Pelodiscus sinensis: one gene and its partners. Each later gene encodes a partner of the first gene's protein in a complex. Links are inferred from orthologs where the notes say so. Each region holds a gene or a part of one and is shown on either strand. Other genes may lie near its edges. The genes, in order: AP1G1, AP1S1 and AP1M1.

What was found.
Region 2: the proteins of AP1G1 (region 1) and AP1S1 are in contact, whole or in part, in a crystal structure (PDB 1W63), measured with the Mus musculus proteins. The link is inferred for Pelodiscus sinensis from reciprocal best matches to the Homo sapiens genes AP1G1 and AP1S1. Residues at the interface, in NP_001288140.1 of Mus musculus: Leu7, Arg8, Ile11, Arg12, Arg15, Leu54, Tyr55, His57, Met58, Gly60, Tyr61, Lys78, Phe79, Thr80, Arg83, Ile84, Leu87, Met90, Leu91, Asp94, Glu95, Thr115, Phe117, Leu123, Cys124, Gly127, Cys128, Tyr152, Lys155, Lys156; in NP_031483.1 of Mus musculus: Met1, Leu14, Arg15, Leu16, Gln17, Lys18, Trp19, Leu21, Ala22, Thr23, Asp25, Arg28, Lys29, Arg42, Lys45, Met46, Cys47, Ser48, Phe49, Glu51, Lys56, Gln74, Asp75, Asn76, Glu77, Leu78, Ile79, Leu81, Glu82, Leu83.
Region 3: the proteins of AP1G1 (region 1) and AP1M1 are in contact, whole or in part, in a cryo-EM structure (PDB 7R4H), measured with the Mus musculus proteins. The link is inferred for Pelodiscus sinensis from reciprocal best matches to the Homo sapiens genes AP1G1 and AP1M1. Residues at the interface, in NP_001288140.1 of Mus musculus: Arg24, Glu25, Gln28, Lys29, Ala32, Arg35, Ser36, Arg39, Glu40, His64, Phe65, Gln67, Leu68, Gln97, Val99; in NP_031482.1 of Mus musculus: Ser289, Asn318, Asp319, Ala320, Asp321, Ser322, Trp334, Pro336, Glu337, Asn338, Ser339, Gly361, Leu362, Pro363, Ser364, Val365, Glu366, Ala367, Glu368.

The regions. Positions count from the first base shown.
Region 1 is NW_027466015.1:561,286-565,028, reverse strand, and holds the start of AP1G1 (AP-1 complex subunit gamma-1), read left to right. Parts: upstream 1-764; 5' UTR 765-1,075; intron 1,076-3,743. UniProt on the Homo sapiens protein: Subunit of clathrin-associated adaptor protein complex 1 that plays a role in protein sorting in the late-Golgi/trans-Golgi network (TGN) and/or endosomes.
Region 2 is NC_134734.1:7,729,655-7,733,397, forward strand, and holds the start of AP1S1 (AP-1 complex subunit sigma-1A), read right to left. Parts: upstream 2,207-3,743; 5' UTR 2,129-2,206; coding exon 2,048-2,128; intron 263-2,047; coding exon 84-262; intron 1-83. UniProt on the Homo sapiens protein: Subunit of clathrin-associated adaptor protein complex 1 that plays a role in protein sorting in the late-Golgi/trans-Golgi network (TGN) and/or endosomes.
Region 3 is NC_134729.1:31,353,992-31,357,734, reverse strand, and holds the start of AP1M1 (AP-1 complex subunit mu-1), read left to right. Parts: upstream 1-869; 5' UTR 870-1,013; coding exon 1,014-1,055; intron 1,056-1,425; exon of another isoform or gene 1,426-1,448; intron 1,449-2,787; coding exon 2,788-2,944; intron 2,945-3,399; coding exon 3,400-3,467; intron 3,468-3,743. UniProt on the Homo sapiens protein: Subunit of clathrin-associated adaptor protein complex 1 that plays a role in protein sorting in the trans-Golgi network (TGN) and endosomes.

The DNA of each region.
Region 1 (3,743 bases):
GTGGACCGAAGACAATGATCAAGTGATTTGTCTCCTGCCATCCCTCTCCAGCCTCTGACAAACAGAGGCCAAGGACACCATTTTATCCCCTGGCTAATAGCCTTTTATGGACCTAACCTCCATGAAATTATCTAGCTTCTCTTTAAACTCTATTATAGTCCTAGCCTTCACAGCCTCCTCTGGCAAGGAGTTCCACAGGTTGACTACACGCTGTGTGAAGAAGAACTTTCTGTTATTAGTTTTAAACCTGCTACCCATTAATTTCATTTGGTGTCCTCTAGTCCTTATGTTATGGGAACTAATAAATAAATTTTCTTTATCAGCCCTCTCCACACCACTCATGATTTTATAGACCTCTATCATATCCCCCCTCAGTCTCCTCTTTTCTAAACTGAAAAGTCCCAGTCGCTTTAACCTCTCTTCATATGGGACCCGTTCCAAACCCCTAATCATTTTAGTTGCCCTTTTCTGAACCCTTTCCAAGGCCAAAATATCTTTTTTGAGGTGAGGAGACCACATCTGTACACTGTATTCAAGATGTGGGCGTACCATAGTTTTATACAGGGGCAGTAAGATATTCTGGGTCTTATTTTCTATCCCTTTCCTAATAATTCCTAGCATCCTATTTGCCTTTTTGACCGCCGCTGCACACTGCGTGGACGTTTTCATTCCAGGGCCGGAACCTTCCTTCGCGGCGCCGGGCGGGCCCGGGCGCATCTCGCGGCAACACTCCGAGCGGGCACGAGAAGGTGTCTGACGTCATCATTGCCTGCCACGGCGCCGACTCAGCGCTCCTCGAACAGGAGTTTCACAGCTGCTTCCGCCTGGAAAAGTAGTTCCCAACGGCCGCTGTCCCGGTGCCCGCGAGCGGCCCGCTGCCCGGGAGAGCGATCGGCTGGGACCGCAGTGCCGGCGGGGCGCCCTCCCTCACGAGGTGGGGCCGGGAACGGCGAGGAGCCAGTCCCCGTCCTGCGGATCCCTACGCCTGCGGTATCGGTGCTGAGGCCGCGGAGCCGCCATTTTGGATGCCTGGCTCCTGCTACCGCCGCTTCCTCCGCTGCAGGGACCCGGCCCGGTGAGTGGGGGCGGGGGCGGGAAGGTCCAAGCGGCCCCGCAGCGCCCACGGCGGGACCCAGGCCCCGGCCCCCAGCGGCCCCGCTCGGCTCCCCCCCCCCCCGGGCTGGGCCCGTATCCCGCCCCCCCCCCGGGCTGGGCCCGTATCCCGCCCCGCTCGGCTCCCCCCCCCCCGGGCTGGGCCCGTATCCCGCCCCGCTCGGCTCCCCCCCCCCCGGGCTGGGCCCGTATCCCGCCCCGCTCGGCTCCCCCCCCCCCGGGCTGGGCCCGTATCCCGCCCCGCTCGGCTCCCCCCCCCCCGGGCTGGGCCCGTATCCCGCCCCGCTCGGCTCCCCCCCCCCCGGGCTGGGCCCGTATCCCGCCCCGCTCGGCTCCCCCCCCCGGGCTGGGCCCGTATCCCGCCCCGCTCGGCTCCCCCCCCCCCCCGGGCTGGGCCCGTATCCCGCCCCCCCCCCCCGGGCCCGTATCCCGCCCCGCTCGGCTCCCCCCCCCCGGGCTGGGCCCGTATCCCGCCCCGCTCGGCTCCCCCCCCCCCGGGCTGGGCCCGTATCCCGCCCCGCTCGGCTCCCCCCCCCCGGGCTGGGCCCGTATCCCGCCCCGCTCGGCTCCCCCCCCCGGGCTGGGCCCGTATCCCGCCCCCCCCCCCGGGCCCGTATCCCGCCCCGCTCGGCTCCCCCCCCCGGGCTGGGCCCGTATCCCGCCCCCCCCCCCGGGCCCGTATCCCGCCCCGCTCGGCTCCCCCCCCCGGGCTGGGCCCGTATCCCGCCCCGCTCGGCTGCACGCCCCCCCCCCCCCCCCCCCGGGCGCAGGGCCCCGGCCCGCTGGGGCCCTGGGCGCCGCCTCCGCCCCCCAGCGCCCCGCCGACAGCACCCGCCTCGCCCCTCTCAGCGCCTCTGGGTCCGCGCTGCGCCCCCTCAACTTCCCTGCAGGCAGCCGCACCGCCCCTCTCCCCGCACTGCCCGCACCCCGTCCCGCTGCTCTGCCCCTTCTCTTGATCTCCTGGAGTGGAGCCTGCTGCTCTGGCCCTGCTCTTCGCTGGCAGGTCGTTCGCCCCTGCGGCCCCGGGGTGGCAGCTCTCCTGTGCTAGCCCTTGGGGAAGAGCGCGTGTGTGTTCCTTTGGGGTGATGCTTGTGCACAGAGGGTAACACTGCACTCCTCCTCCTGTTTCCGAAGGTGAACGGAGTACTCTGCAGCTGTACTGCTCGAGGAGTTTTGTTTGTGCATAGCCCCATAATTATATCTATCTAGCTCTTGGCAGAGCAGACTGCCACAGTCCTGCCTAGACCAATTTACAGCAAGCTGCAGGTGCAGACTTTTGCTGCTGCTTCTTTAAGGGTTTGTTTAATTCTTTTTCAAATTATATGGCATTAGTTGTTGCTCGGGTGCTGATTCTTGGGTGTGGATTAATGCTTAAGTCTTTCCCAATATCAGACTTTGTCACTTTATACATTTTGATTTTTAAATGCTGTGGTGTTGTTTATTGCTGCACTTGATGTGTGACATGCTTGATGAAATGCTGTAGAAGCACTATGTCCTTTAAAGTGCTATATTGTCCTGCATTTTGCTTCAACTACCCCAGACTAACACGGCTACATTTCTATCACTATGTCCTTAGGAGAGATGGTGTATTGAGCAGAGCTTGACAAATGGGCTTGAAAAATATACTTGACACCTGCTTGCTTATTAGTCAGTGTGAAAAGTAATTCCGCTACCTTGGTTCCCTCCAGACCAAGCAATGCTGTAGTGCATTTTCACTGTAGTGAATTTTAAGTCAGTCTTCTATTTAGCATACTTTTACATAATAACTTTGTCTCCTGTTTGTATATTAACTTTTTTCCTTTTCTGGCTTCACTCCATTTTTCTCCCCTCTTTTCATTACTATATTATAGTGTATATTTTCTGGTTTTAATTGTCTGTTTTCTCTTTTCTTTCTCTTTTCCCCTCCCGCTACATCCCTTTCTCTCTTCATTTACACTGAACGCGCTACTGTTTGCACTTCAATTTTTTTCGCACTCAGTTGCCAGATTTTCTCTCATTTTCCTCACCCAAACTCTCTGCTGATCCATTCCCTCATCTACGGATCATGAAAACTTTATCAGACACCAAAGAGCTGGCAAGAGAGCTCAAATAAGATTGGAGACCCTGCTCTTGTCACCCCACAACACACTCCCTTTTCTCTCTCTCCCATATGCTGGGAGGGGAGGAGGTATTTAAATTACTAGAAAGACATGATTCCTGAATGTTTAGGAACTCCAAGTTCCCACTAGTAGGCTTATGATGAATTTGAGACTTCACCCAATAATCCTTTTCTTTTTCACATTCCTCTGCTTCCAACACAGTCCCCTGTCTGTTCCAAGGATAGGGTTTCTGCTAATCTAGCCCTTGCCTAGCTGCCTCCATGTTTTGGTGTCATAACTTCCCATGCTGTTGCTCTTTAGACTTGCCAAACAACAGAGGGACTATATATGATTCTTGTCAGCTTCATTGTTGCTCAGAGGGTTCTGAATAGCAGCAAAGGAAAACTGCTGAGACTGGTCACTTGTTACATCCTAGCTAGGCAAAGCTGTGAGCAGAACAGGAGGATTGGAGCTGTCAGTCTGCAGACTTATAAAGGAGTGCGTAAATGGTTCAGATTTGGAAAATTATCTTTGAAACCATGAGTACGAGAA
Region 2 (3,743 bases), on another chromosome or scaffold:
ACAGCAGCAGAGGATGTAGGCAGTGGGGAAGGTGGGAAGAGCTGCTGGGGAGGGCGGCTTCTTGGAGAGGGAGGAGGGCTCACCTTTTGTAGACCACCTTGAGGTCCCGCCACTCAAGGAAGCTGCACATCTTGGGCTTGCGGGCCAGCACCACCTGCATGAGCTCCCGCACCATCTTCTTCTTCTCCTTATCTGAGGTGGCCAGATACCACTTCTGCAGCCGCAGTTTCCCCTGCCGGCTGAATAGCAGCATGAACCGCATCTGCCATGGGAGGGACTGGCTCAGTGAAGGGTTTGAACCCATCCCTGGCCTGTGCCCCTACTTTCCCCACTGTGCCACAAGCAGCTGAACAGCCAGAGTCAGGGGCAGCAAGGGCCAGAGACTCGTAAGTGACAGCTGGTGCCACTGGAAGCCCCTAATCCAAGCAGAGGGGTGTGCCTGGGAGCAGAGCTCCCCATGGGGCCCATCCCCTAACCCCAAGCCACTCCTTCCCACCCAGGCTGCAGCACCAGCAGGGCATGGCCGTGGCATACGTGCCCAGACAGACACGGGCTGGGGCTACCCAGTATAACAGCAGTGAGCCCAGGTCTGGGATAGGTGGAGACAGGGAACACAGGGAATTTGGGTGAGGGGTAACTAGGAAGCTTGAGAGTGGGGCCTGGGAGTAAGGGCTCCTGGGCTCTGTCCCTTTCAGACCCTAGCACTGTCTGTCCCAAATGGGGGTGAGAGCCACTTTTGGGGGTCACCCTGATGGACCAGATGTCCCTTCCCCCCATGCAGTCAGATCCCATGGGATTCCCCAAACCAGGCTCACTGCCCCTGCAAGGTGTGAGCACCTACCCTGCCTACAGGTACATGGCCTGACCCCTGCTAATTACACTAATGACAACTGGCACAGCCTGAGCCCCAGAGGAGTTAACAAGGAGGCATGGAGCACAGCAGGCCTAGGATCCAGTGCCAGCATAGGGAGCTGGAAGAAGATGCCAGTGTTTGAGCTGGACCTGACCTGTCCTGGTCACCACTGTTAGTCATGCAACTCGCTGAAACAAACCTGCTAGGCCTGTTTTCTGGGGCAGGCTCCCCACCCCAGTGACCCTATGCAGCCCACTTCTCCAGATCACAATGGCTCCTGCTTTTAAATGGGCTCTGACCCTGAAACCCTGCCAATGAGTGCAAGCAACGCTTCTGCAGTACAGGTGCTGTCTACACTAAGGACTGCAACACTATAGCCCCATCGCAGCAGGTCAGCTATCCTGGCCGCTCACACACACACACACACCCTGAAATGGGCAATGCAGGTTCTAGCTCCACCTGGGGCTGCTCCGGAGTTTGACTCTCTTCCTCGTCACATCTGCACCATCACATGAGACTCATGCATCAACACAGCATCGCACATGCCACCCCAATGCCTGCCATGCAAAATGCACAGCTCCTGACACATGGCATTCAGGTCCAGTCTACCCCAAGGGCTGCCACAGGGCATAAAACCATCTCCCAGTAGAATCACAAGCTGCCTTCACACACAGTAGCTCAGGTACTGGCATTCCCCTGCATGCACTACACCAGGCCTGGGGGTGCATGGGCCTCATCATATGCTGGGGCAGGAGCAGCCTTGTCCCTCATGGTTACAAACATGGATGTCAGGTGCAGCCCCTAGTGCGTTGCCTCAACTCAGGGGTTCAGTCGCACTCACCAGCCTGCCTCTGGCGTGCGGATGCTGTCCACACTAGGAGTGGCAACAGTGAGAAGCCTTGTCCCAGATAGGAGCCATCTAGTGGCTGTGTCAAGACCAAGGGCAGGGGGGCAGCTGTTCAAAAGGCAGCGTGTTTGGCAGATACACCCCAACCCCCACTTGTGGGAATGGGACTGAGCTGCACAAACAGCCCCTGGCAACCGCCCCATCACCAGCTCGCTGCCACGGGCGCTGTGCCCCAGCGGCTCCCCCGGCCCAGACCCCCCACTTGGGCTGCAGCCCAGCCCCGTCTCGGGGGACCCCAGCCCAGCCCCCCTTGGGTTCCAGCCCAGCTCCCCCCGGTGCCCCCTCACCATGGCGCCGCCTCCCGGCCCCTGGGCCGCGCTCAACCTGGCCAGGTACGGAGCCGGGCCCGGCCTCCCCGCGCTACGCATGCGCCAGTGCGGGACAGGCGCTACTTCCGGGAGGGGCGGTGGAGGCGTTCCTATGGCAATGGGGGCAGGAGGAAGAGGGCGGGGCCGTTTCCGTGGCAACGGGGGCAAGAAGGAGGCGGCGGGGAGCTGGTGCTATGGCAACGGGGGCAAGAGTGAGTGGGAGGGGAGCCGCTCCCATAGCAAGGGTGGGCGGGTGCTGTGTCATGGGAACGGGGGAATGTATCCATGGCAACAGACCAAAAGGGAGGGGCGGGGGCAGGAAGGGTCGGGGCTCTGCAGTGAGGCAGGCGGAGTGAGCGGGGCCCCAGGGGAGGGGCTGAATCTGGGGGGCTTGAGGGAGTGGATAGGGCTCGGTCAGGAGGGGAGGGCTGGGGGCCATGGATGAGGAAGGGGACTCGGGGGAGGGAGCATGGCTGAGTGGAGAGGGAAACACAGAGCAGTGTGAGTTTAATAAAACCAGCCAGGCCCAGCAAAGGGGCCCATGGGGCACAGAGCCCATCCCAAGGGCCTTAGCACATCCCTGGCACCTAGCTCGGTCCAGGGAGGGATCATGGCCCCCCTGTGGGGCTGGTGGTGCAGGGCCTGGAAGAGGTGTGCTCCTCTCTTACAGCCAGTGCTCACTCCACTGCTATGGGGCATGGCTGGCCCCAGAGCCTGCTCATCAGATCTTGCTACAGCCTCCTTCCCACAGGCTGGGCCCAGGGCTCAGGCTAGGGAACAGGCACAGCCACAAGGCAAGGACCACACCATGTTTCCATAGATATTTTATTAAAATATACATATGCACACCCACACACAAGCATGTTCCTTACAACTCACTGCTCCTGTTGGGCAATCCTGCTTCCATGCAGTAGGGATATAGGTCAGGCAAATCTATGGGGTCCCCCACATCCCTTGCCCAGCTTGCATAGGGAAAAGGCACACATTACTTTAAAGGCACTACTGCAATGGAGTCTGGGAGGTGGTAGTGGGCTATTTAGATTCCCACAGCACATACTATTCCTTTAATGCCAAAGGGGAAAATGCTAGGGTTGAGAAGGAAAAAAGAAGGGGGTGGAAGGGAATGATATACCTCAGCTGCCAGTCCCTTACCCAGCCACCATTGGATTATTTTTAGACATCCACTGATTTTTGGGGGGTGATGCGTACTGGCTGGTGAGAGCAACTAACCCCTGACCCTGATCTGCATGTGCAGCACTGCTGGGGACACGTGCCGATTGCTTCACCCAGCTTCCTGTACTGCCAGGGAGTGACGCAGGCAGAGAAGGCCCCCTGCAATAGGACTCTGTCTGGCTGCTAGAGAGCAGCTCTTGCAGGAAGTGGAGCATGCTCAGGGCTGGGTGGCTGACTGAGAGGCCCTCAGGGAGAGGTAACTGCATCTGTTTGTCCACACAAATCTTGGAGGAGGTGGTGATTAGTTTGTGCTTCCTATAGTGAACAAAGGTTATAGCAACATCTCTGGCCATACCTCAGCCATCCACCCTCTGGCCCAACATTCCTGCCCCTACCCCTCAAAAATGCAAACAAAGCTAGAAATATATTATATCCTCTACAATATATTACTCTTCCATACACTCATGCCCAGTCCAGGCCTCCCAGTACTCCTGAGAACAGG
Region 3 (3,743 bases), on another chromosome or scaffold:
TCTTGTATCTGGACTTCCAATACTCCTGTCATTGGAAGAAGTGGGTTGTGCCCTTGAAAGCTCATGATACCATCTACATGTTTTGTTAGTCTTTAAGATGCTATTAGACCGTTTGTTTATTTTTTTCAAAGGGGGACAGTTAGTGGCATCCAAAAGGCCAAATAAGGAGCAGAAGTGACCAAAAGCAGAGATGTGTGTGTGGGGGCAGAGATGTGTGTGTGTGTGTGTGTGTGTGTGTGTGTGTGTGTGTGTGTGTGTGTGTGTGTGTGGAGGCTTTATTGGGGCCACCCTTAAGATTTATGGGATCCTTCACACTACCATTAAAGTGAGGCTCCTATACCCGATGGCAGCTGGGTGTATGATTTTTTAGAGAGGTCATTTTCTAATCTTCAGTAACACTAATGAAAGCTAATAATAGGTCTGGCCGGCTTTTTCCGTGTTAATTAGATGCTCTCTGGAGGAAGCAGAGCCCCAGGACGGGGAGAAGAAGAGGCAGGTGGGTGGACATGAAGGGCCATGGGGTGACCCCATTTTTGGGGTGTCTTATGCAACTGCATATTCTGCACAGGGGTGAGGTCAGTGCATGCCACAAGAGGATGGGGGGAAGGGGCAGAAAAACCTGCTTCTGCCCCTAGCCTCTAAGACTCCCACAGGCCTAGGAACCAGGCCCAGGTCTGCAGGGCCATGTCCCTCCTGGGAAGAAGCCAGGCGCCAGCCTGTTCCTCCAGCTCTCTATGGGCCGCTCAGGCTAGCGCGCCGCTTTGCGTCCCCCCGGCGACGGGGACCATAGAGAGCGCGGGCCAGAAGGGCGGGGGTGCATCCGCTCCCTCAGTCGCTTCCGCCGCAGGGCGTGTTTCCGCGGGAAGGCCCCGCCCCCTTCGCTGGTGTCCCTCCGCCCTGCCAGAGGCCTCTTCCGCCCCTGCAGCTGGCCTAGCCGGTGGAGAGCGGCAGCCGGAGCGGCCGCGTTTCCGGCCAGGAGCGGGGCCGCAGCGGCGCCGAGCAGCCGGGGCGCGATGTCCGCCAGCGCCGTGTACGTGCTGGACCTGAAGGGCAAGGTGCGGAGCCGGGGCGGCCTGGCCTGGGGTTCCCGCGCTGGGCTCGGGCCCCTCCGCATCCCTAGGGGCCCGGCGGGAGGGCTCAGGCTCTGACACCCCCATGCTCCCTCCCCACCTCGCTCGGTGCGTCCCCCTCCCCCGCCTGGGGTGGGGACCCCGGTTCCTCCAGCCTGCCCTGGGGCCTCAGGCGTGCCGGGAGCCTGCCGAGAATGCTGCCTTGCTTCAGCCGGAAGCTTTGGGCTAGACTTTGTGCTGCTGATCAGCTGCAGTGGTGCAGGAAGTGCTGGTTTTGGTAGCTGGCTCCCTTCCTCCTCCCGCTCTCCCTTCTGGGGCCTTTTATCCTCTTCCTTCGTGAATAAAAACTCATGCAAGTGAAGTGGGTTTGATTTTGGGGTAAGTGAAATGGAGATCACCACTGCTTGTGGAAACTGAAGCTACAGAGACACTTTAGCTAACTTTCCATATTTCATCGTATTCCATTTTGGGGTAATTAGATTTGGGGTAATTTCCTCCAGGGTAGATTGTCAGAGACCCTGGAGGTTTTTCGCCTTCCTGTGTAGCATGGAGCACAGATCAGAGCTGGAGGATTCTCTGCATCTTGGGGTCTTCAAAGTATTTGAAGGCTTCAATATCTGAGACATAGGTGAAAGGATTATTCTAAGAGGTGTGGGTGAGATTCTGTGGCCTGCACTGTGCAGGGGGTCAGACTAGATGATCATAATGGTCCCTTCTGACCTTAAAGTCTATGAGATTCTGCATATTTAAGTACATTCTGAGGTTTTGTTCTATCATCTAAGTATATTCTGTTCCCAACATTGATATTAGGGATGTGAACGGGTAACTGGTTACCAGGTAAGCATCACACTTAGGCTACGTCTAGACTACACCTCTCTGTCGACAGAGAGATGTAGATTACGCATGTCAAAATTGCTAATGAAGCAGGCATTTAAATCTCCCGTGCTTCATTAGCATAAATATGGCTGCTGCTTTTTTTTTTTTAAAACTGAGCTTTTTCCAAAAAAAGGCAGTCTAGACGTGGATCTGTTGAAAATAAACCCGTTTTCGACAGATCCTGTAAACCTCATTTTTTGAGGAATACAGGATCTGTTGAAAAAGGGTTTATTTTCGACAGACCCTCATCTAGACGGAGCTTTTTTGAAAAAACGGCAATTTCGAGGGGGGGGGGGCGGGAGCGGTGGCCATATTTATACTAATCAAGCGCGTGTGATATTTAAATCCCTGCTTCATTAGCAGTTTCGATGTGCGTAATCTACATCTCTCTGTCAACAGAGAGGTGTAGTCTAGGCGTAGCCTTAATGGGTGATACTCTACTGGGTAATGGTTAACCATTACCTGGAAGAGGTCCGCTGGCTATTCCAACTCTGTGGGGCTGAAAGGGGGACTGTTGGCTCCCAGCCCTTGTGGGATTGTGGAGTGTGAGTTAGACTGTGTGCCCCCATTTAATCATTTACTTGTTAACTTAATGTTTAACTGGTTAACTAATTAAACATGATGTTCCATCCCTAATTGATACATGCTATTTAATAGCTGCTGAATGGATTCTAAAAGCTATGCTTAAGTTGCGAATGAAAGATTTCAATGTACAGTTTGTCATTCAGTTAGTGAAGAATTTTGGGGTTCCACTGCCTAAAAGTACTTCCCATGTGTCAGATGATAACTTCAGCATTTGTTTTTAAAACCTATTCAGATTTCTGTTGCATGTCTATTGCAGGTCCTCATCTGCCGGAATTACCGTGGAGATGTGGATATGTCTGAGGTGGAGCACTTCATGCCAATTCTTATGGAAAAAGAGGAGGAGGGAACACTTTCTCCCATTCTAGCTCATGGAGGAGTACGTTTTATGTGGATTAAACACAACAATTTATATCGTATCCTTTAAAGTGTCAAACTGTTAGTATGGTGAAACTGATGAACATGGTGGATTTTCAGAATTTGTACTTGAATGGAAGTAATAGGATAACAGGCTTACTGCTAAGAATTTTATTGATCAAGATTTACAAAGATGCAAAAAATATATAAATAGGAGTTTTTTCATGACATACCTTATTCCAGTAACGTGTATAAAAGTGTTAAAGTGCCAATTTAATATAAGTATTTCCTGAATTTTTAGTCCTCTGCCCCCAGGAGTTAAACCATCAAAAATAACATAAACCCCAGAATTTTCAATATCAAATGACTCTGGAAAGAGGAATGTCATTGCTGCTTCCTTAATATTTGGGCCAGCTGTAATAATATAGTAAATGCGTTTTGAAAATGTATTTAATTATAAGCATTTTTTAAAAAGTGTAACTTTAAACTCCAATTCCTGAACATACTTTTTCAGTTGTTGCTACTTCTAAGAAGAATGCTTGTGTCTCTCTGGTGTTTTCATTTCTTTACAAGGTGGTTCAGGTGAGTATGGAAGTGATATTTGTTCATATAACTAAACATATGTTTTATGTAGATATGGAAATCTTTTAATTATGTAGTGCTGTGCAGAAATGGCATATTTGGATTATAGGTGGTTATATAAAGATCTTTCAGTGTTCGTTTCTGATGTTTATTTTGTGCTGTACAGGACAAGGATACTGACAATCTTATAATAAACAGGCACAGAAAATGATACAACATGAAAGCTAGATTCAAATATTGTGAGCTTTGTGAGCATTGTTGAGGAAGCAGATTTTT